Macaca fascicularis: one gene and its partner. The protein of the gene in region 1 purifies or fractionates together with the protein of each later gene. This does not show direct contact. Links are inferred from orthologs where the notes say so. Each region holds a gene or a part of one and is shown on either strand. Other genes may lie near its edges. The genes, in order: SERBP1 and TSR1.

Region 1 (11,884 bases):
GTGGTTTCAGCATTTGTGAAAAGAGGCAACTATTTGCGTAACACAATGTTGAGTTCAAGGTTATTCATAGCTCCTGCCAGAGATGCATTTGCTATTTTGTGTTAATGGAAAAGGATTTAAAAATTATGATATATTTAAACACGGTGCTACCAAATGTGCTTAAAATGCATTCAAACTGTATTCTTTTAATGAACTTTAATATTCTCAACTAGTATCAATGCTTTGTTATTATTAAGTATTGACTTCAATATTTCCCACCCCTCACCGCAACTCCTAGCACACACGCACTCGAAATGCTCTAAAATGGTATTTATTGAGCGCATGTGACTAACACCACAGCCACCTAAGCCCTGACTTGCCGGACACGAACGGACAATTAATTGGAATGACTGTAACAGCGTTTCTGTAAACAGTGCTTCCTAGCGGCTTGCCCAGTGTCTAGCGCTGCACAGTCAGGAGTTAACCACTCCTACGACACCGGCCGCCACACGGTGAGAAGCCCGGGAAAGACGCGCCACACTCCCATGTGATAGTTTCACTTGTCTTTTTGGTTAGTTCTGCTACCCTAGTTCACGTCCCCGCGAGAGGAAACGTATTCCACCTCACATTAGACAGAAGAGCCTCGATTCACCGTGGAGCCTGACAAAAGGGCACTCCAGCGACTGAGCTGCTCGGACTTGGCACAGGCAGGGTCCAGCCTACTCGCTGCCGGCGCGGCGTCTCAGCAACACCCCCTCCCCCGGAAGTTTGTGCGTCTCAGATGTAAGGTCTGGGAGTCACCTTGACCCTTCCCGGAGCGGTGGGGAAAGTTAGCCTGAGCCCGAGGGAGCGTGAGTGAAACCAAAGAGCACTTTCGCGAGTCAGCTACGCCGTCACGTTTTTCTGGTTTCAGGGTAGCTGAAGACCTAGAGAGTTTAAGGGCGACCAGAGCAGGTGGCAGGACTCCGCCCACCACCACGCTTCCCCTCCTTCAGCTCGCACGCTTCACTCCCTTCTTGGGGTCCCGCCTCTCGGGCGCGCGCGAAGAGTTGTCGCGCGGTGCATCCTGGGAATTGTAGTCCCAACGCAGGGAGTCGCCTCAGGAGAAACTACTCTGGCCTACACACCCCACAGTGCCTTGCGGCGCTGGCCGCTCCCGGATGTGTGCCTGGCGCCGGAAGAGAAGACGGCCCCCCTCTCTCGGCCCGGCCATCTTGTGGGAAGAGCTGAAGCAGGCGCTCTTGGCTCGGCGCGGCCCGCTGCAATCCGTGGAGGAACGCGCCGCCGAGCCACCATCATGCCTGGGCACTTACAGGAAGGCTTCGGCTGCGTGGTCACCAACCGATTCGACCAGTTATTTGACGACGAATCGGACCCCTTCGAGGTGCTGAAGGCAGCGGAGAACAAGAAAAAAGAAGCCGGCGGGGGCGGCGTTGGGGGCCCCGGGGCCAAGAGCGCAGCTCAGGCCGCGGCCCAGACCAACTCCAACGCGGCAGGCAAACAGCTGCGCAAGGAGTCCCAGAAAGACCGCAAGAACCCGCTGCCCCCCAGCGTTGGCGTGGTTGACAAGAAAGAGGAGACGCAGCCGCCCGTGGCGCTTAAGAAAGAAGGTAAAGCAGGGGCAGAATGTGGGGGAGACTGGGATGGAGGGAAGGAGCGAGAGGGCTGCCGGCTACCACTTGTTTCTGGAGCTCCGAGGGTCCGCGGGAGACTTTGCCGCCTATTTCCTCACGTTTCTTCACGCGACAAAAGCCAGGTCCTGCGAAGGTGCCAGGAGCGTGGTAGCCCCAAGTTCAAGCCACCGCCGGCGAGGCTCTCGGAGCCACCCCCTTCCCGCCTTAGGTTGTGAGCGGAGGAGCGTGGTCGGAGATGAGCTGCTCCTCGAGCGCGCTCGGGGTCCGGGGAGGCTGTTGCCTTCCCGCCGGATTCCTTGGCGGGCGAGCGCATGGACTGAGGTGCGGGGAAGCCGGCCGCTCACCGACGCTTGCCGTAGTTACGGAGGGGCTCGGGGTCCATCGCTGCTTACTGCGCAGAGCTGCTCCTTTGAGGTGCTGTTGTTTCAGGCTCCTGTCCTGCCATCTTGTCCCACGACGGCGCGGAGTATCCCCGCCGAAAAGCAGGGGGTCGTTCCAGGCCATCGGACGTGTGGAGTCAGCCGCAGGTTGGGGTGCCGCGTGTGCTTTATTGTTTCTCCTCCACCTCTCAACTGTTAGGACTTTCTCAGAACTTGCTGGGGTGAGTTGAGCTGTTGGGAAATGGAGGAGTTTGGCCACACTCGACTAAGCAGAAGCGGGAATTATGAATGAAGACTGGTGATCGCAGGACGTCCCGAGGAAAGTCCTCGAGTCACGATCCTCTCTCTCTCGACTCCCCAAACTGAGTCTTTCACATGGTGGACTCTGGGCCTCGTGGGTAAAGTGAGTGCAGAGGCTGTCACAGCGTTAGTCGCAGCAGAGCTCTTTAGAGTCTGCAGCTTTTTTTTCCCCCTCCACATGTGCGTGAAGCATGGTCAGAGTTTCACTGGCGGTTAATAGTTGCTTCCAGGGCACTGTGAGTTTCACAGGATTGTCTTGATTTTTGCATTCTCATTACCAGTTTGTTACGGATGAAAAAGAGCAAGTAGTTCGAAGATAAGAACGTGCATGATCAATAGCAAGCAGGTGTCGGACCTAAGGTCTGAATCTTTAAAGCTGTATTTATATGTTGAAAGTTGAAATTACCCCTTCCTGCCACGTGCTTCTCTGAAAGGAGTTCTCATTAGCTTTTGTTGACTTCTGTGACATTCAACTAATTTTGAAAATCAAAACAATTTCCTCGTGGTGGGATTTGTTTTAGGAGGTTTATTGTTTTTTGTGGTTTTTTTTTTTTTTGAGGACTTTTATGAGGCTTAGAATGAAGAACCTCGGTCCTAGGTGGTGAATGAAGAAAATAATTCTTGTGGTAAAATTATAGGTTGAGGAGAAACACAGTTGGAGTATTAGAAAGCATGTACATCACTTAGGCCAAGTATCTCTTCAGCCAATTAAGCTTTATGGCAATCTAACACACCTAAATAAATCATTTAATTCGTGTGTTAAGTAATGCTGACTTGTGTAATTATTTAAACTATGCTTAAGCTTAAGAAAGTAAACAAAAAAGTTGAGTCTGACGAATAGTGTGTACCAGGTAGATGTGTTCACTCATTTTGAATGTTCAAAACATGAAGCATGTTTAAATGCCTGAGTTATTTTGATCATGAAGCCCATCTAAGAAATAAGCTCTTACCTGAAAAGTATTTTAAGTGACAAATGTGGGGAATGATTTCATGAAGTTAGAACTAAGACTTAAGTTCACCATTCAATAAGTCTTTCCATGGGAAAACTATTCCATATTAGCAATCAACATTTTCCTTAGGTCAGTATTTCAGAGCACTCTTATTAAGTTGCATAAAATACAAGCATGTAAATACAAGAAAAGTGTTGAATGGACAATACCCGTTTTGAGATTCTACTGTCCTATTTACTGGGAATATATCTGTAAACAAAATCCCTGCAGATAGTAGGAAGGTTAACCTGATTGTGTTCTGTGGTTTTGACAACACATTGTGACATAATGCTTGACATACTTTAGACAGATATTTAATGTTTATGTTTTATGAATTAATTTTGTAGCTTCTCTTGCCTATTTGAAGAACTTGAGAATTGATAGCAGAATGTCATTGAGAGTGTAGACCAGGCATTTTCTAAAACAGAATGGATGCCTGAAACTAGTGCAGTTAATGAGCTTGCAGGTTATACATAAGTATATCAAAAGAAGCTTGCATTTTTAAATGTCAGTCTTTTTCATTAGGTGAGTTTAATCTAAGTTTCTAAGATTCTGTAAGCTTAATATTGATATTGGGTGGGGACGCCAACTATTGTTCACTTGGGTGTGTGTGGCTTGGATATTATTGCAAGGACTGGCTCCTTAACTCCACCCCAGTACGCTTTATTACTGATGACATTTATTTAAATACCTTGGTGTAAGGTCTAACATTTGTAGTCTGTCTTGTATTTGCTGGGAATGAACTTCAAAATTCTATTGAAGAGACTGATAGTTACTGTTTGGCTCCAGTTACAGGCAATTGAACAATTGGGTGTGTCCTGATGGTGTTCTACTTTCTTCGAACCAAAGTGAAGCAGCTTAAAATCTTGTAAAACCAATTCCTCAGCTGCTTTATGACTTTGTCAGAAATTGGGAATTAGAGCATACCAACAATCTTAAAGTCATTAATTTAATCATCCATCTATTGATCCTTAAGGGCACTAGTAATTTAAATTGGTTGCCTTTGTGGGGTTTCAAACATTACAGGAAAAGCAGTAAAGGGGGAAATTAGTAAATGCTTCAGCTATCACTTAGTGTCACAAGTTTCTTATTTCTTACCTACTGCTTAAAAGGGGTCTTATGTGTGTGGATTTGGTTTTTAAAGATTATTTGACAATAAAGATAGTTGTTAGGGCAGATTTTTTAGAGGACTGTCTCCATGCATAATAAGTAACTGTTTCCTAACTTGGAAGTACTTAGAGATGTGGGAGTGTGTACAAACATATATACACTTACATGCTATAAATTTTTAAACTGTTTAATAGGGGAAGATGGCCCTTTTTGTGTGCCTGCAGTTGAGACTAAAAGATGACACTTTCTGGTTAAATGGCTGTTTTAAACTGAGGTGATGTTCTCTAATAATCCTAAATGCCATATTTTCCTTTCAGATTTGTGATTCCATAGAATTATGAGTCTTAATTGCTTTTTTGTTTTTTCAGATTAGATAGGATAACAAAGTGTGGCCCTCACTTTTGTGAGGGGCCATATCTAGTGAGTGTGTTGATTTGCTTGGTTATTATGAACGGCTGCTGGTATTTTCTTTGGTATTTTAAAAGCCAAAATGTATCACTTGCCTAACATTTTTTAAATTTAAAACTTTTTATTAAGAGACTGATATCTTGAAAAGTGACGGGAATAATGGTTGCCCAAATGATTTCCAAGTCAGTTATAGAAAATGCTTATGAGGGGGAGAATAACTTGGCAAACTAAATAGAAGTTTAAAACAAGTTTATTGTCTGTATTTTATTTATTTATGTATTTGGTCCGTGGTATGGATTGGAAGGTTTATTGTCTTTAAATGGCAGTTTCCCTAAGGTACTTTGTTACACATTAGAGTTACCCAGTGTTTACTTTTTTCCAACAGGAAATGGTAGTGGATTGGAAGAGAAGCAGCTTTTTGACAGTCCAGGCCTAAACTTTTTGTATTGCGAAAATAGTTTGCTTATGCAGGTTATCTATCCTTTTAGGAATAAGACGAGTTGGAAGAAGACCTGATCAACAACTTCAGGGTGAAGGGAAAATAATTGATAGAAGACCAGAAAGGCGACCACCTCGTGAACGAAGATTCGAAAAGCCAATTGAAGAAAAGGGTGAAGGAGGCGAATTTTCAGTTGATCGGTAAGTTGTTTTTTTTTGTTTTTGAGCCAGGATCTTGGTCTAACTCCTAGGCTTGGAGTGCAGTGATGCAAGCGTAGCTCACTACAGTCTCTGCTTCCTGGGCTCAAGCAGTCCTCTCATTTCAACCTCCTCCTGAGTAGCTCGGACTACAAGATCACACCACCACACTCTGCTAATTTTTTTGTAGAGCTGAGGTCTCACTATCTATATTGCATGGGTGGGTCTTGAGCTCCTCTGCTCAAGCTATCCTCCTGCAATATTGGGATTACAGGCGTGAACCAAAAAAGTCTTCATATTTTGTTACTTTATAGAGTCACCGCTTAATGTTAAGCTATAAATTGGGAATAATTGCCAGGTAGCAGTCTGGCTAATTGTTTCTATTAGTTTTTGACAGAAACATCTGTATGTGTGCATTGTTATGTTTTAGACCTTTGGGTGATGGTTCAAACTTAGGTCTCTTGTAATGGAAGCACTTTATTGAATTGATAACCACTTTTTTTTTCTTGCTGTCTCCCGATACAGAGTTAGAAGGAAAATACTGTTGGTTTATTAAATGTGTTTAATTTTTAAGTGTATTAGTAAATAGTGATGGACTGGATTATATGTGCAATGAGTAACAGTGGAAAAGTATATGCATTGGTAGTAATGTTTTAGAGTGCTAAAATAGTTTTCTTGTTCTGGGAGGCTTTCTTGTTCTGGCTTCCTTTATGTTTAGAAATAGACTATTTTGAATTTTCTGAAGCATGTGTATTTATTGGTTTTTGAGCTGGTAAACATGTTCTGTATTTTTGGGTTTTTGGATGGATTTTCCTCATTCTGGAAACCATGGAAGTATAATTTGTTTATATTATAGACCGATTATTGACCGACCTATTCGAGGTCGTGGTGGTCTTGGAAGAGGTCGAGGGGGCCGTGGACGTGGAATGGGCCGAGGAGATGGATTTGATTCTCGTGGCAAACGTGAATTTGATAGGCATAGTGGAAGTGATAGATCGTAAGTCTTACTGGTTTTTAGTTTATTTTAATATTTTAATCTAATAAACAAACTTTGAATTTCTAGAACTAAAGAGTATTATGTTAACTCAGTTTTGTTAGTTCTTTTTCACATTACAGTGGCCTGAAGCACGAGGACAAACGTGGAGGTAGCGGATCTCACAACTGGGGAACTGTCAAAGATGAATTAACGTTGGTATTCTGATTTTTTAAAAAATTCTGTACCTAACTAGGGGTTAATCCATACCTCTGTCAAATTTTACTTGTCTCTGAGATAATGAATGCTCTCCTCTGAGAGCTACTGTAAGATAATGTCCTATGGGATGAATTTGGGTTGTAGTGTATTGAATGACTGGTTTTTCTATACTTCAATATATTTGTTACTCATTTTTCCCCCATATATATTTGTAGCTTTTCCTGAAACCCCACAATAAGGTTATTTGGGTATTCTGATTATCTTAGTGTCCTTAATAGTTCCTATTCTAGTTTTTGACTTTGTTGTCATTACAAAATTTGTTAAACTAGTAAAGCTTGGTTTTATAATTAGCTGCCTTGTTCTGTTACTTTTTAAGTATGAAGTATATGAACTAAATAGTTTATATTATTTGCTTTTCAAGGTCTTCTGGGGAGTATATTTAGTAGGAAAGGAGTTAGAGAATGTGAGGGCTTACGGTATTTTTGTATGAAGAACTCTTCAGCTACATGTAAATGGACCTAGATGCCTTTCTTTTTCTTTCTTTCCTTAGAGAGTCCCCCAAATACATTCAGAAACAAATATCTTATAATTACAGTGACTTGGATCAATCAAATGTGACTGAGGAAACACCTGAAGGTGAAGAACATCATCCAGTGGCAGACACTGAAAATAAGTAAGTGGTTTTGCGTGTAATAGTAATGACCCAGAATTGAAAGCACTGGATTTTGACCAATGAGATAACCCATAGATTTAATGCTGTTGCTTGATGGCTTTTTGTTTTTGACAAGGGAGACGTATTGTACCCTCATCCCTCAAAGAGTATTTAAAAGAATGCTTTTTTTTTTTTTTTTTTTTTTTTCTTTTTTTGGTAAGAGACAGGGTCTCACTATATTGCCTAGGCAGGTCTGGAATTCCTGGGCTCAAGCGTTCCTCCTGCCTTGGCCTTCCAAAGTGCTGGGATTACAGGCATGAGCCGCTGCACCCAGCCCTTAAAAGAGTGCTTTATGTGTATATATTTTGACTATGCTTTGAAAAATAGAATATTTTAATGTGGTTATTTCTGTTTGATTAGTCATTTTACCATTGTCATACAACCGTACAAATTTTACTTTGAGATAGTTAAAAGTAGAAAATGTGGCCATTTTAAGATTAGTTCTGTCTTGAAGTTACTTCCAACGTAGAATTTGGAACATAGCATTACTGGCCTGTTTTTAAATGTGTGAAGAGAGCAAAGATCAGAGTATGTTATTCACGAGCATTTTTTTCTTTTTTGAGACCAGGTCTCATTCTGTTGCCCAGGCTGGAATGCAGTGGAGTGATCTTGGCTCACTGCAGCCTCCGCTTCCTGGGCTCAAACAATCCTTCCACCTCAGCCACCTGAGTAGCTGGGACTACAGGTGCCTGCCACCAGGCCTGGCTAATTTTTGTATTTTTAGTAGAGGAGAGTTTCACCATTTTGCTCAGGCTGGTCTTCAACTCGTGAGTTCAGGCAAGCCACCCACCTTGGCCTGCCAAAGTGCTGGGATTACAGGCGTGAGCCATCTTGCCCAGCCCTTCACTAACTTTTTTTTTTTTTAATGCCTCGCTAATATTCTATATTTTTTAGTAGAGAGGGGTTTCACTGTCTTGGCCAACTGGACAGGCTGGTCTTGAACTCTTGACCTCAGGTGATCTGCCCTCCTCGGCCTCCCAGAGTGCTGGGATTACAGGAGTGAGCCACCACGTCTGGCCCTTCACTAGCTTTTAAAATTACGTGTTTTTGTTTTGTGTTTTTTTTTTTTTCTTTTTCGAGACAGTCTCGCTCTGTCACCCAGGCTGAAGTGCAGTGGCGTTATCTCGGCTCACTGCAACCTCTGCCTCCTGGGTTCAAGCAATTCTTCTACCTCAGTCTTCCGAGTAACTAGGATTACAGGCGTGCATCACCACACCTGGCTAATTTTTTATATTTCTAGTAGAGACGGTTTCACCATAATGGCCAGGCTGGTCTCGAATTCCTGATCAGAGTGCTGGGATTATGGGCGTGCGCCACGGCGCCTGGCCTAAAATTATGTTTATTTTGTCAGTTATTTGTTATTGTGGTTTAAAGTCTTGGATTACAGGTTGTTTAGGACAGTGATTCCTAACCAGAAGCATATTCAAGTTAGTTTGGGGGTGGGAGGGGCAGATGCTTTCTAAACTTGCTCTTTTTTTTTTTTTTTTTTTTTTTTTGAGACGGAGTTTCACTTGTTGCCCAGGCTGGAGTGCAATGGCGTGATCTCGGCTCACTGCATCCTCTGCCTCCTGGGTTCAAGTGATTCTCCTGCCTCAGCTCCTGAGTAACTGGGATTACAGGTATGTGCCACTATGCCCAGCTAAGTTTGTATTTTTAGTAGAGATGGGATTTCTCCATGTTGGTCAGGCTGATCTCCAACTCCCGACCTCAGGTGATCCGCACACCTCAGCATCCCAAAGTGCTGGGATTACAGGCGTGAGTCACTGCGCCTGGCCTTGAATTTTTTCTTTTCTTCAGGAAGAATTGCTCTTATGGTGAAACACTGTTAATGATGGGAGTATCATATTCCATGGATTTGTTGGGATAAGGAAAAATGATATACTATTGGAGGGAGTAGATAAAAGTACCTAGTATTGGGTGATGTTTTGAACTTGGTAGTACAAATTTATGCAAAACTATAATGGAATCATACTTTTGCCTGATAAACAATGAAATTGTGATTGGTGCCTTAACAAATGAACCCTATGCAACATTAAGTTTCTCACAGTGGTCAACATTTTTGTTTGTTTGTTTCTTTGAGACACAGTCTCCTGTCTCCCATGCTAGAGTGCAGTGGTGCGATTTTGGCTATTCTGAGGTTCAGGTGATTCCCCTGCCTCAGTCTCCCGATTACCTGGGACAATAGGTATGCTCCAGCATGCCCGGCTAATTTTTGTATTTTCAGTAGAGACACGGTTACACCATGTTGGCCAGGCTGGTCTTGAACTCCTGGCCTCAAGTGATCCTCCTGCCTTGGCCTCCCAAAATGCTGGGATTACAGGTGTGAGCCACGGCGTCCAACCACAACTGTTTAATAGAGCCCATGTTGAATCACTCAGAGTGATCTGCAAATATTATAACTTTACCAAAAGGTACTAATGTGCTGATAGCGTATCGGTAGCAAATCCTTAGCTGAGTACCCAGGAATGAAATTGAAGGTGTTTGGTTTAAAGAAAATAATTATCCATCACATTAGAACTGTCTCTAATCTTACTCCAGAGTAGGGAAGAATCTGGGCATAGCATATGGAAGTATAAATTTAAGAAACACAACATTGGCTGACTGATTAACTAGCTTATATATAGCTTCCAGAGCTTCTGTTTGGTTTTTATTTAATCTTTGCAGTGATTCCTGAAAGGTGGGTGTCATGCCTCCATGATATGATAAAAGGTATGCTAAGTTATATTCCTGGCTGTGTTATAACATGGGTAACCAGGACTTTTTTTATATTCTTGGATTTCTCATCTGTAAAATGACTGGGTGGACTCAGTACCCAATTCAGTGTAAACTTGCTCTAGAGTTGTTTTTTGTTTTTTGCAGCATAGATATAACTGGAGGAAGTTTTAAGATAGGATTTGTCAAATGGTAAAGGGCAGCATCCAGGGAGATATTTGAGCTCTAAAGCTAACTGAATCACCTGCTATCTTTGGAAAGAAGGGCTCCCCAAATAGCAAATGACTTGTTTGATGACAATTGCAAATTGAGATTATACTAAAATAATGGATCCTTAGGCCAGTGCTTTGTTTCTGTAAAAAGAGGAAAGGATCGTATTCAATAGTTATAGACTGGAGAATTATATTTAGAAATAAATGGTTTAGTGTTAAATAATGAAACCAGTGTGTGTTTGTGGATAGTTCTATTAGCAGTGAATCCTTGGCCTCCTTTCCATATACAGGTTGGTTTGAAAATTGGAGTATAAGGATTTTAGGATTTGTAGAAACATGGCTATTGTTTTTATTTGCTATAAGTGCTAGTTGCCGAAATAAAGCATAGAGGAACAGTTCTTTTATGTTCCAAAATTTGAACCCTGGTTGCTAACAGACATTCTTCTGTCAAGAGGATAACCTTCTTGTGTGTTATTAAGAATTAACGTATTTTGGGAATTATGGAAATTAAAAATGTGGTTTAAAAGAAGATAGGCTGAGGATTTTACCTAAGAAGGTAGTTTTTAAACAAGGTACTGTTTGGTTTTTTATTTTTTGAGACGGAGTCTCGCTCGTAGCCCAGGATGGAGTGCAGTGGTGTGATCTTGGCTCGCGAGCTCCGCCTCCCGGGTTCACGCCATTCTCCTGCCTCAGCCTCTGGAGTAGCTGGGACTATAGGTGCCCGCCACCACGCCTGGCTAATTTTTTGTATTTTTGGTAGAGACGGGGTTTCACTGTGTTAGCCAGGATGGTCTCGATCTCCTGATCTCGTGATCTGCCCGCCTCGGCCTCCCAAAGTGCTGGGATTACGGGCATGAGCCACTGTGCCCAGCCGGTACTGTTTTTAAGAAATGTATATTTTAGTATTGGTAAAGCCTGTTCTAGGTTGTATTACTGATAAATGATCATTTAAGAGTTCATGAGGATGAATTCTATATCCCTTACTTGTATATAGTCAGCAAACACTGAATTCCTGGTCTCTACCAAGTTGCTTAGTTACACAGGAAACTAGGATACCCTCATCCTTGGATAATCTTTCTCTAAAAGATTACAAGGTTCACTTTCTTAATTAAAATCATAAATTTGAAATATTTTGATGTAAATTATATCAGCTCTCTACCAGGTATAAAACTTGAAAACCTTTTCACAGGGAGAATGAAGTTGAAGAGGTAAAAGAGGAGGGTCCAAAAGAGATGACTTTGGATGAGTGGAAGGCTATTCAAAATAAGGACCGGGCAAAAGTAGAATTTAATATCCGAAAACCAAATGAAGGTGCTGATGGGCAGTGGAAGAAGGGATTTGTTCTTCATAAATCAAAGAGTGAAGAGGTAAAATTAAGTTTTGTCGTGTTTGAAAATGTTCACATGTGACTTGAATTGTATTTATAATTTTTGTTTTAAAATTTCACATGGGTGATTTGTCTATAAAAAAAGCTTTACATAGGATCATTTGGGGCAGATAATTTGCTTTATAAGGAAAATAAACTGTATTACATATTCTCAGAAAGTCCTTCGATCAGTTCATAATTATGTTTTATGTGGTAGAGATGCTTTTTCCTAAAAAGCTGTTAGTGGTGTATTG
Region 2 (12,446 bases), on another chromosome or scaffold:
AAAGAGGTTGAAGGAGCTGAGGTATCTATCCTCCTTGTTCATCTTGTATGTTGCTTTCATTTGTCAACATGCTCCCTACTTTATTCCTTCTCTTGGCATGAAAATACGCTGCATTGGGGGATTAGGGGAGCCCCTGAGTCATTGAGTAGAATGATACTGGGAACAAAGAGGTATCAACTATGTTAAATGAAAAAGCGTGATCTGGGTAGTGAAGCATCTTGAAGGGTGAGTGTAGGCTTTAAAAAGGTCATCTGAGAGACTCAGCATATTTGGAGGAAGCTTCCTCATTATTGGGACTTTGAAGGGTAACTCCATGATTGCTTTCTGCTTTCTTATGGCAGGTTGGCTGGTATGTCACACTTCATGTCTCTGAAGTCCCTGTCTCAGTGGTCGAGTGCTTCAGGCAAGGAGCACCCTTGATTGCATTTTCTTTACTACCTCACGAACAGAAGGTAAATTAGTGTCTTGTAGGAAAATGGGAGGTTATGAAAATGGGAGGTTATGAAACTTTGCAGCTGCTTCTGACAGTCTAAAATTTTGTTTATGTATGACTAACATTTTGCTCATTGGGATACAGAAAGTCTCCCTTTATGATTAGGAATTGGAGAATAATGGAGAAGTCAGTGATGGTTTTATTCATGTTGTCTGAACCTGTCTGAAACATCGGTGATGCAATCTCTGGGTGATTCTGAGACTTCTCTAAGTGTGTTTTTCAGACCAGATTTTGAACAAGGGTTGGCAGCCATTAAAATAAAGGTTTGGCTGGGCGCGGTGGCTCACGCATGTAATCCCAGCACTTTTTGGGAGGCCAAGGTGGGCGGATCACCTGAGGTCGGGAGTTTGAGACTAGCCTGACCAACATGGAGAAACCCCATCCCTACTAAAAATACAAAATTAGCCAGGCGTGGTGGCATATGCCTGTGATCCCAGCTACTTGGGAGGCTGAGGCAGGAGAATTGCTTGAACCCGGTAGGCGGAGGTTGTGGTGAGCCAAGATTGCGCCATTGCTTTCCAGCCTGGGCAACAAAAGTGAAACTCCATGTCAAAAAAAAAAAAAAAAGTTTGTGCCAAGGTGCAGATCTCTTTTCTTTTGGTGGCCAGTAGTTGTGTATGTTGTGGGGGTATGTGATAGTTCTTTGATGGGTTTTGGTAAGGGCTCAAGAAGAAGGGGCTTGAATGAGTGTGGTTTTGAGATTGTGGTGAGTGAATGCCTTGAAGGCCACTGATTTTTGTGTGGCAGATGTTGAGCTCTTTTCTGTTAGATGCAGGAAGGTAGGTTAGCATTGAAGGGTGCCTGAACGCTCCTACGTTAAGCCTACATTAAGCCTACGTTCGGCTTAAATGCCAGTCATTGGTGGAGGGAAAGGATGAACCTGTGTTTCAGCATCTGCACTCCCCATTAATTAGCATTGTCAGTTCTTAGAATGAGTCTGAATCTGCTAGTTTGGTTTGCCTTCTTTCAGTTTAGGCAATTGTATTCCTAGGCTATGAAGATTTTTATTTTTCTTACTTGGTCCCCAGATGTCAGTATTGAATATGGTGGTGAGGCGTGACCCTGGCAACACTGAACCCGTGAAAGCCAAAGAAGAGCTCATATTCCACTGTGGATTCAGGCGCTTCCGAGCCTCACCTTTATTCTCTCAGCACACTGCAGGTTAGCAGTGGGGAACCTGGGTTCTTGTCCATCTTGTCTTTTGGGAAACTGACTTGTGGAGGGGTACAGAATATGGTTTCAAAATCTTACATCTCTGGATTAGAGGTATTTTCAGTACTCTGGCTTAAGAGCCAATGATGTTTTTACTCAAAATGTCTGAACCTGTCTGAAGCATCCCAGTGATGCAACCTCTGTGTGATACTGAGGCTTTTTTGCCATGAGTATTTGTTCCAGAGCAGGTTTTGAGTAGAAGTTGGCAGCTCTGTAAAAAGGGTATTAGGGTGGGTGAAGTGGTGCAGTGGCTTACACCCATAATCCCAACACTTGTGGCATTAGAATGGGGAATTGGAGACCAAAAAAACTAAGGTTTAATCATATATATATATATTTTTTTTTTTTTTAAATTTTTTTTGAGACGGAGTCTTGCTCTGTCGCCCAGGCTGGAGTGCAGTGGCGAGATCTGGGCTCACTGAAGCTCCGCCTCCCGGGTTCACGCCATTCTCCTGCCTCAGCCTCCCGAGTAGCTGGGACCACAGGCGCCCGCCACCACGCCAGCTAAGTTTTTGTATTTTTAGTAGAGACGGGGTTTCACCATGTTAGCCAGGACGGTCTTGATCTCCTGACCTTGTGATCCACCTGCCTCGGCCTCCCAAAGTGCTGGGATTACAGGCGTGAGCTGCCACCACGCCCGGCCTGGTTATTTTTTATTTTATTTTATTTTTTGGAGACGAGTCTTACTCCATTGCCCAGGCTGGAGTGCAATCGTATGATCTCGGCTCACTGCAATCTCCGCCTCCTGGGTTCAAGCCGTTCTCCTGCCTCAGCCTCCCAAGTAGAGTAGTTGAGACTACAGGCACGCACGACCATGCCCAGCTAATTTTTGTATTTTTAGTAGAGATGGGGTTTCACCATGTTGGCCAGGCTGGTCTTGAACTCCTGGCCTCAGGTGATCCGCCCACCTCGGTCTCCCAAAGTGCTGGGATTACAGACGTGAGCCAGCGTGCCTGGCCTTTTTTTTTTTTTTTTTTTTTTTTTTTTTTTGAGACGGAGTCTCTCTCACTCTGATGCCCAACTGGAGTGCAATGGTGCCATCCAGGCTCACTGCAACCTCTGCCTTCCAGGTTCAAGCAATTTTCCTGCCTCAGCTTCCCGAGTAGCTGAGATTACAGGCGCCTGCCACCACGCCTGGCTAATTTGTGTATTTTTAGTAGAGACAGGGTTTTACCATGCTGGCCAGGCTGGTCTTGACCTTAGGCGATCCTCCTGCCTTGGCCTCCCAAAGTGCTAGGATTACAGGCGTGAGCCACTGCACCTGGCCAATCATTTTTTTATTGTTTCAAAATGGTTTTGATTTTTTTTTAGGATGAAATAACTATTTTCATATTTTAGACAGTTGGGAAAATAAGGAATAATGTAAAAGTACAATTATCTTAGAGAAAATTCACTTTTATTTTATACATTTTCATGTGGATCTCTGTTTTTTTTTTTTTTTTTTAACAGAATTTGGATTGTAATTGTAAATATGGTGTTAAACATTGCATTTATCATTTAATTAATTTTGATCAATTTTCCATAAGATTAATTAGTTTATGAGACTTTTAATGCTTTATTGTCATTTGGATATATTCCAGTGTATGTGATGTACTGATATTTATTTGAGCTTCTACAGGTGAGGACTTAGGCTATTTCTAATGTTTTGCTCTAAATTAGATCTGTGTGCATAAAACTTTATTTACTTCTCTGCTTATTTCATAAAGGCAGATCCTTAGAACTGGAACTAAATCAAAGTCTTAGTTCCAGAGACTGAGGCAGGAGGATCACTTGAGGTCAGGAGTGTGAGACCCCTGTCTCTACAATTTTTTTTTCTTCCCGATACAGAGTCCAGCTCTGTCACCCAGGCTGGAGTGCGGTAGCATGATCTCAGCTCACTACAGCCTCCATCTCCTGGGTTCAAATGATTCTGGCGCCTCAGTCTCCCAAGTAGCTTGGACCACAGGCGTCCGCCACCACGCCCAGCTAATTTTTGTATTTTTAGTAGAGATGGGGTTTCACCACGTTGGCCAGTCTGGTCTCAAACTCTTGACCTCAGGGATCTGCACACGTGCCTTGGCCTCCCAAAGTGCTGGGATTTTTAGGGATGAGCTACCATGCCCGGCCTCTACAAAAAAAATTTCATTTTTGGGGAGATGGAGTTTTGCTCTTGTTGCCCAGGCTGGAGTGCAGTGGCAGGATCTTGGCTCACTGCAACCTCTGCCTACTAGGTTCAAGTGATTCTCCTATCTCAGCCTCCCAAGCAGCTGGGATTATAGGCGTGTACTACCATGCCCAGCTAATTTTTGTATTATTAGTAGAGATAGGGTTTCACCATCTTGGCCAGGCTGGTCTGGAACTCCCTACCTCAGGTGATCCGCCTGCATCGGCCTCCCAAAGTGCTGGGATGACAGGCGTGAGCCACTGCACTCTGCCAAAATTTTTAAAAAACTTAGCCAGGTGTGGTGGCATGTGCTTTGCAGCCTCAGCTACTTGGGAGGCTGAGGCGAGAGGGATTGCCTGAGCCAGTGAGCCCAGGAGTTTGAGGCTCCAGTGAGCTGTGTTCACACCACTGCCCTTTAAATATTTTAATGAAAGCTACATTGAAGGTAGAACATCACATACAGTCTAGGCTCCAAGATTCTGACTCCAGATAAAAAAGTTACTGATCGGGCGCCTGCAATTCCAGCTATTCGGGAGCCTGAGGTGGGAGAATCGCTTGAACCTGGGAGGTGGAGGTTGCAGTGAGCAGAGATGGTGCCATTGCACTCCAGCGTGGGCAACTAGAGCAAGACACCATCTGAAAATAATTAAAAAGTTACTGATACAGCCTGGCACTGTGGTTCATGCCTGTAATCCCAGCACTTTGGGAGATTGAGGTGGGCGGATCACAAGGTCAGGAGTTCGAGACCAGCCTGGACAACACGGTGAAACCCCGTCTCTACTAAAAATACAAAAATCAGGCCGGGCGCAGTGGCTCAAGCCTGTAATCCCAGCACTTTGGGAGGCCGAGACGGGCGGATCACGAGGTCAGGAGATCGAGACCATCCTGGCTAACACGGTGAAACCCCGTCTCTACTAAAAAATACAAAAAACTAGCCGGGCGAGGTGGCGGGCGCCTGTAGTCCCAGCTACTCGGGAGGCTGAGGCAGGAGAATGGCGTGAACCCGGGAGGCGGAGCTTGCAGTGAGCTGAGATCCGGCCACTGCACTCCAGCCTGGGCGGCAGAGCGAGACTCCGTCTCAAAAAAAAAAAAAAAAAAAAAAATCAGCCGGGAGTGGTGGCGGGCACCTGTAATCCCAGCTACTCAGGAGGCTGAGGCAGGAGGATGGCTTGTTCCCGGGAGGCGGAGCTTGCATTCAGCTGAGATCACGCCATTGCACTCCAGCCTGGGTGACAAGAACGATACTCAAACTCAAAAAAAAAAAGAAGTTACTGATAGGACTAGACTATCTTTTAGGTGTATTGAGGCAGAGAAAATTTTTGAGAACTGGTGGATTAGAGAAGTAGAAGCTGCCGTAGGTTTAAGAGTTGCACTAATCCAGCTTTTCACAGGCCTCTATTGCCTCTGGTTTCTCAAAATGGTTTTGGTTTTCATATTTTAACCCTTATGGCAGCGGACAAACATAAATTGCAGAGATTCCTGACTGCTGACATGGCCCTGGTGGTGACAGTCTATGCACCAATCACTTTTCCTCCTGCATCTGTGCTGCTTTTCAAGCAGAAAAGCAATGGTAAGTTGAGCCACAGAGATGAACAGACCCTGCAGGCCCTTAATAGGATGAACACTGTTTTCTCTTCTGTATTTAGATTTGGGAGCCAAATGGTATGGAGAAGGTAATGATGGTTTTCAAAATACAGTAAGTCTTCACTTAACGTTGTTTTAAGTGAAACAGTGTATAGCCAGTCTTCAAATAACTGCCTTTTGTTCAACATCCTTTCCTTGTAACAACTGATGAGAAAAAATACGGTTTTGTTATACATCATTTCTCTTCAAGTACAAGTTTTCAAGAACCTATTGACAAGGTTAAGTGTGGACTTAGCAGTTTACCAATCTTAGCCTCAGATTGGGCTAGGGCAGGGATGACAAACCAGGCTCTTACATGGGTCTTTAGATGGACTGGGGCAATAAATGAAGACTTTGGCCTGTAAATTCCTAAATAGCTTCTTTGCTTTTGTGCTTTAGGAATGCACAGCCTCATTGCTACAGGCCATCTTATGTCAGTAGATCCAGACAGAATGGTCATCAAGAGAGTCGTTTTGAGCGGTCATCCTTTCAAAATTTTTACTAAGATGGCAGTAGTACGTTACATGTTCTTCAACAGAGGTAGGTATGAAGGAGGAGGATGGGATCTGATTGCCTTTGTGGTATGAAGGTTGGGTTTACATTTTGTGGGTAAATATTTCATCTTGGTGTTTTATGTGTTTGATTCTAAGAGGATGTGCTGTGGTTTAAACCAGTGGAACTGAGAACAAAGTGGGGCCGGAGAGGACATATCAAGGAGCCTTTAGGTAAGGAAACATGGGATTTGGGACCATGTCTACGTTTCTGCAGTGATGCTAAATGACTATTGGGTTGGAAGTCATTGCTTTAAAATTTTCTACTTTTAATTAGACTGACTTGTTCTGTTTTCTTTCTAGGTACCCATGGCCACATGAAATGCAGCTTTGATGGGAAGCTAAAATCTCAAGACACAGTACTGATGAACCTCTATAAACGAGTTTTCCCCAAATGGACTTACGATCCATATGTACCAGAACCAGTACCCTGGGTGAAAAGTGAGAGTTCTTCAGTAGTACCTCAGGAGGGCATGGAGTAATGGATTCAAAGAGATTCCTTCTTACTGGTGCCAGCCAGTAGTCAGGGATGGGAGGCACAAGTTGTGATTGGGCAGTTTATTTTCTATGTCAGCCTGTCAGTCTGCTGCCCCATTTTGCAAGACTTTTTTTTAGCCTTGACAAAATGTCTCAGTTAAGTATGAAAGTTTTTCTACTACTTAGTCCAAAAAAACTATTAAATCTTAATGAAATAACCACTCCATTAAGAATCTGATAACTAAGAGTTGACTGACTAGGAAACAAAATGTCTTCAGTATCTAAAGACACTGAATCCCACCATTTCCTTTTCTGTAAATTAAACAGAAACAGACTGATAAGCTGGCCTTTCAGCCTGCTTCACCCAAGTTATGGAGGAGGTTAAGTCTACATTTCCACCACTAAGCACAATACAAATGTTCTTTACTTCTGGGGAAACAGTTTGAAAATGTTGAGACAGCACAGCAGCCACTCCAACACCAGCTGTAGGTTCAATGAGTAGTTTCATCCTCTCCCACACCAGCTGGGTTGCACGCTGTTGATATGGAAGGGAGTAGGAATTAGTTATAGGGGAGTCTAGTTGGTTTACTTATAAAGGTCAGATGAGAATATATGTCCAGTTTGAATTTTCTTATCACTGTGTATACATGCTTCCCAAAGCTTTTCTTTAATTCTAACTCTGCTTCTGTCAAGAGGGTTGTCATTAATACATCTAGGGTACCCTCCCATGTCATGAAGTTACCTTGTCAAGTTCCCGTGGGTCACTTGCTACTCCTAACAGAAGGTTCTTCTGCCTAAGAAGTTATACCATGCTTTGTTATTTCTTTTCCTGTTGGAGCCTTACCTTAATTTCATCCTCTGTAACAGTGAAGATATCATCCACAAGGTCCCTGATAATAGGCCAGGTGTTCAAGCCAATGCTGGATTTGACACCATCTGCTATGGTGTCTGGAGGATAAAGATTGGGCATCAGTTCCCCCTTCAGCTTGGACTGGTAGCAATCATCTGCATTCAAGGGTTCAGCAGCATATACTTTCACACTAGGTTTCAGAGCCTGGGAAGAGGAATATTAAGACATCTTACAACAAACCACAACATTGCCTGTATGTCTAAAAGAAAATAGGGGCAGGGTGTGGTGGCTTATGCCTGTAATCCCAACACTTTGGGAGCCCAAGGCAGGTAGATCAGCTGAGGTCAGGAGTTCGAGACCAGCCTGGCCAACATGGTGAAATGCAGTCTCAACTAAAAATACAAAAATTAGCCAGGCATGGTGGTGGGCACCTGTAATCCCAGCTACTTGAGAGGCTGAGGTAGGAGAATCGCTTGAACTCGGGAGGCATAGGTTGCAGTGAGCTGAGATCACACCACTACACTCCAGCCTAGGCAACAGAGCTATACTATCTCAAAAAAAAGAAAAGAAAATAGGAACAATAAGTAATACATTTCTGCCCAAGTAAGAGCCTTTCATTTTATGGATATAATGAAAATATTTTCAAGCACTTTATAAATAAATTATATGTCTGATACTAGCCTTCCATTGCCTGGATCGCATCTGATTCTCCTGGTAATTTGAGAAAAGGGTAGCCTCTTGGTATGGATAGTAGCTTGATGACATGGAATTCAGGGAAAAGACTGATGGTGTCACTTATGGGAACTGCTTTTGTGCTGTAAAATTGTCATGGATTAAGAAGAGAGTTGGCCAGGTGCAGTGGCTCACACCTGTAATCCTAGCACTTTGGGAGGCCAGAATAAGGATTGCTTGAGCCCAGGAGTTCAAGACCAACCTGGCCAACATAGCAAGACCCCATCTCTTAAAAAAAAAATACTAAAAATAATAAATAGCCTAGGTGCAGTGGCTCACGCCTGTAATCCCAGCACTTTCGGAGGCCAAGGCAGGCAGATCATCAGGTCAGGAGTTCAAGAACAGCCTTACCAACATGGTGAAACCCCGTCTCTACTACAAAAAAAATGCAAAAAAATTAGCGGGGTGTGGTGGCGTGTGCCTGTAATCCTAGCTACTCAGGAGGCTGAGAGGAGAATTGCTTGAGCCCGGGAGGTGGAGGTGGAAGTGAGCCAGGATGGTGTCACTGCACTCCAGCCTGGATGACAGAGCAAAAGTCTGTCTTGAAGAAAAAAAAAATAGTAAATAGAGTAGTGAGGCAGAGACGGGCCTTCATCTCAAGTCCCAAAGGAATAAGGGGAAGGAATGGTAATGTGTGCAGAATTTTGAGCACGTGTATACAAATCATTTATGATGTAAAATAAATCCTCTGCTTGAAGTAGGGAATCTTCCAGAAGTTGCTCACCTTAATTGTAATTGCTATTCCAGCAATCATTCCTCCTCCACCTACAGGTACCACCAGTGCATCCACCAAAGGAACCTTTAGTGAAAAGAATAAAAACTGTAAATGGGCCTATTAGTAAGCAATTTTATATTTAATGTGTACATATAAAATAATTGAATATAGCCCAACAGCTTTACCAGTAGCTAACCAGGAAGAACTCGGCTATTTTACCTGGTTCAGCACTTCCAGGGCAATTGTCCCTTGTCCAGCTATCACTGCAGGCTCCTGGTTGGGATGTACCATGATGCCTTCTGTTTCTTCTTTAACTCTTTTTGCAACATTTTCTCTGGACTGAAAGTACATTAATTTAGTTTAATTGATTTGTATTTAATAGAGTCCCCAACAAGTTCCGTTTGGTCATTCAACATTTTATTGACCATCTACTTTTTTCAGACTTTGTTCAGGTACTAGAGATATATATGTTAATAAACAAAATATCTCTTCCCTCAAGGGGGTTATATTATATGGTAGAGATGGGGGAAGTAAATATATGGTATGTCTAAGTGCAATGGAGTAAAATTAAGGAATTTATTTCATATAGGGTAGCCAAGAAGAGCCTCTAGTAAAGTGACATTTTAAAAGATCTGAACAAGTGCTGTGGATGTCTAGAATATTCCAGGGAGGGGATAACAGTGCAAAGACTACAAAGTAGGAGTGCTTGGCCTTTCTGAGGAACAGCTGTAAAGGTTAGTATGGCTGGCACAGAGAGGGCAAGAGAAGTAATAGAATATGAGGTCAAGGCTGGGTGCAGTGGCTCATGCCTATAATCCCAGCACTCTGGGAGGCCAAGGTGGGCGAATCACTTCAGGTCAGGAGTTCAAGACCAGCCTTGCCAACACGGCGAAACCCTGTCTCTACTAAAAATACAAAAATTAGCCAGGTGTGGTGGCGCGTGCCTGTAATCCCAGCTACTCTGGTGGCTGAGGCATGAGAATCTCTTGAACCCAGGAAACAGGCTGCTGTGAGCTGAGATCGAACTACTGCACTCCAGCCTGGGTTGGACAGAGCGAGACCCTGTCTCAATAAAAGAAGATGAGGGGCTGGCCGCGGTGGCTTACACCTGTAATCCCAGCACTTTGGGAGGCCAAGGCAGGTGGAACATGAGGTCAGGAGTTCGAGGCCAGCCTGGCCAATATGGTGAAACCCTGTCTCTACTAAAGAATCAAGCCGGGCGCAGTGGCTCACGCCTGTAATCCCAGCACTTTGGGAGGCCGAGGCGGGCGGATCACAAGGTCAGGAGATCGAGACCACGGTGAAACCCCGTCTCTACTAAAAATACAAAAAATTAGCCAGGCGCGGTTGTGGGCACCTGTAGTCCCAGCTACTCGGGAGGCTGAGGCAGGAGAATGGCGTGAACCCGGGAGGCGGAGCTTAGTGAGCCGAGATCGCGCCACTGCACTCCAGCCTGGGCGACAGAGCGAGACTCCGTCTCAAAAAAAAAAAAAAAAAAAAGAATCAAAAATTAGCTGGGTGTGGTGACACACACCTGTAGTCCCAGCTACTCGGGAGGCTGAGGCAGAAGAATTGCTTGAACCCGGGAGGCGGAGGTTGCAGTGAGCAGAGATCGTGCCATTGCACTCCAGCCTGGGTGACAGAGGGAGATTCTGTCTCAAAAGAAAAAAAAAAAAAGATGAGGTCAAAAAGATAGGAATGTTTGAGTTCATCCAGGGCTTACATGATTGCAAGAACTCTGGTTTCCACTGTGTATGAGATGGGAAACCAACAGAAAATTTTGACTTGAAAAGAGACGAGTTCTGACTTTGTTAAATGGAGAGCTCTGTTGCTCAAAAAACCCTATAGTGGGGCAAGGGTGGATGCAGTGAGACCAGTTTGGCTACTGAATTGAATATAGGTGAGAATTGATGTTGGTTTGAATCAGGGTGGTTAACGGTAGACCCAGAAGCAGTTGGGTTATGGAAGTATGTTGAAAGCAAACTGAGATTTGGATGTGGAGTATGAGAGGGTTATCAAAGATGATTCCTGGCTGTGTGCAGTGGGTCATGCCTGTGAGCCTAGCATTTTGGGAGGGCAAGGTGGGAGGATTGCTTGAGCCTAGGGGTTTGAGACCAGCCTGGGCAACCGTGAGACCCTGTCTACAAAAAATAAAGGAATTAGGTGTGGTGGCATGCACCTGTAGTCCTAGCTACTCAACAGGCTGAGGCAGGAGGATCCCACAACATAGGAAGACTCCATCTCTAACAACAACAAAAAAAGTTTTCAGAAACACAAAGATGACTCCAACTTTTTTTGTTTGAGTAACTAGAAGAATAAAAATTGCCATTTACTAAGATGAGAAACCCTGGAAGGGAAGAAATATAGGGAAGTAAGATCAGGAGTTTGGTTTTAGATGTAGTTTGAGATGCCTTTTAAGACATCAAGTGGGAAAATTAGGTAGCTGTTGGATATAAAAGACGGCTGTTAAGGGGAGAGAAGTTGGAGTTGTTAGACCATAGGTAATAATTTAAGCAATGAGACTAATGAGATCTTGTGAGTGTAGATAGAGAAAAGGTTGAGCATGTAACAGAAATAAAGAGGAAACCACAAAGGAGGCTGAGAAGGAGCAGCCGGTAAGGTAGAAAGAGCCATTGGTCAAATGAAAGCTGTTAAGGTGGTACCAAACACTGCTCTCCTTACCTCATCACTAGGTTCACAGTATACAATTGACGCTCCGTAGGCTTGTATTGCAAGTTTTTTACAGTCTGGAGCTGTCTGGGGCACCACAATATAAGCAGGAATTCCTGGGAGAGGAAAACATGTTTGGTTACTACAAGTCAGGAGAATGTAGAACAGAAACTTATGTGGTCAGATGTGGTGGCTCACGCCTGTAATCCCAGCACTTTGGGAGGCTGAGGCAGGTGGATCACGAGGTCAGGAGATCAAGACCATCCTGGCTAACACGGTGAAACCCCGTCTGTACTAAAAATACAAAAAAAAAAAAAAAAAATGGCCGTGTATGGTGGTGGGCGCCTGTAGTCCCAGATACCTGAGAATGAGGCAGGACAATGGTGTGAACCTGGGAGGTGGAGCTTGCAGTGAGCCAAGATCATGCCACTGCACTCCAGCCTGGGCGACAGAGCGAGACTCCTTCTCACAAAAACAACAACAACAACAACAACAAACAAACATGTTCAGCCAGGTGTGGTGGCTCACGCCTGTAATCCTGGCACTTTGGGAGGCCAAGGCGGGTGGATTGCCTGAGCCCAGGAGTTCGAGACCAGCCTGGACAACATGGTGAAATTAGTATTTTGTATTTGTAAAATAAAAAAAATTAGCCAGGTGTGGTGGTGTGCACCTGTAGTCCCAGCTACTCAGGAGGCTGAGGCAGGAACCCGGGAGGCGGAGGTTCCAGTGAGCTGAGATCACGCCACTGCTTCCCAGCCTGGGTGACAGAGCAAAACTCTTGTTTTCAGAAAAAAAAAAAAAAAATTAAAAGAAACGATGTTCATATTGCTTGCAATCAGATGGAGATTTCTTTGGAAAATTACTTACCAAAGCTATCATCACTCTCATGGAAATTAAGGACATTTTTCCCCTCCTTTCTGATGATCTACCCAGTACCTTGAGAAATCAAGTACCTTCCAGTTTGGCAGCATAGGTGAGAG

Evidence for each region.
Region 2: the proteins of SERBP1 (region 1) and TSR1 purify together in Homo sapiens (affinity purification with mass spectrometry; 3 studies listed by BioGRID and IntAct, with this or other methods). This does not show direct contact. The link is inferred for Macaca fascicularis from reciprocal best matches to the Homo sapiens genes SERBP1 and TSR1.

The regions. Positions count from the first base shown.
Region 1 is NC_088375.1:167,246,073-167,257,956, forward strand, and holds the start of SERBP1 (SERPINE1 mRNA-binding protein 1), read left to right. Parts: upstream 1-1,174; 5' UTR 1,175-1,276; coding exon 1,277-1,589; intron 1,590-5,288; coding exon 5,289-5,439; intron 5,440-6,292; coding exon 6,293-6,433; intron 6,434-6,534; coding exon 6,535-6,624; intron 6,625-7,178; coding exon 7,179-7,301; intron 7,302-11,453; coding exon 11,454-11,631; intron 11,632-11,884. UniProt on the Homo sapiens protein: Ribosome-binding protein that promotes ribosome hibernation, a process during which ribosomes are stabilized in an inactive state and preserved from proteasomal degradation.
Region 2 is NC_088390.1:2,439,383-2,451,828, reverse strand, and holds the end of TSR1 (pre-rRNA-processing protein TSR1 homolog), read left to right. Parts: coding exon 1-21; intron 22-341; coding exon 342-452; intron 453-612; exon of another isoform or gene 613-705; intron 706-1,521; coding exon 1,522-1,654; intron 1,655-1,777; exon of another isoform or gene 1,778-1,872; intron 1,873-5,301; coding exon 5,302-5,418; intron 5,419-5,870; coding exon 5,871-6,011; exon of another isoform or gene 6,012-6,121; coding exon 6,122-6,196; exon of another isoform or gene 6,197-6,325; coding exon 6,326-6,504; 3' UTR 6,505-6,818; coding exon of another isoform or gene 6,819-7,034; 3' UTR 7,035-7,343; coding exon of another isoform or gene 7,344-7,553; 3' UTR 7,554-8,028; downstream 8,029-12,446. Other genes in the region: SRR (serine racemase), read right to left, coding at 6,819-7,034, 7,344-7,553, 8,806-8,880, 9,016-9,135, 11,479-11,582, 12,420-12,446. UniProt on the Homo sapiens protein: Required during maturation of the 40S ribosomal subunit in the nucleolus.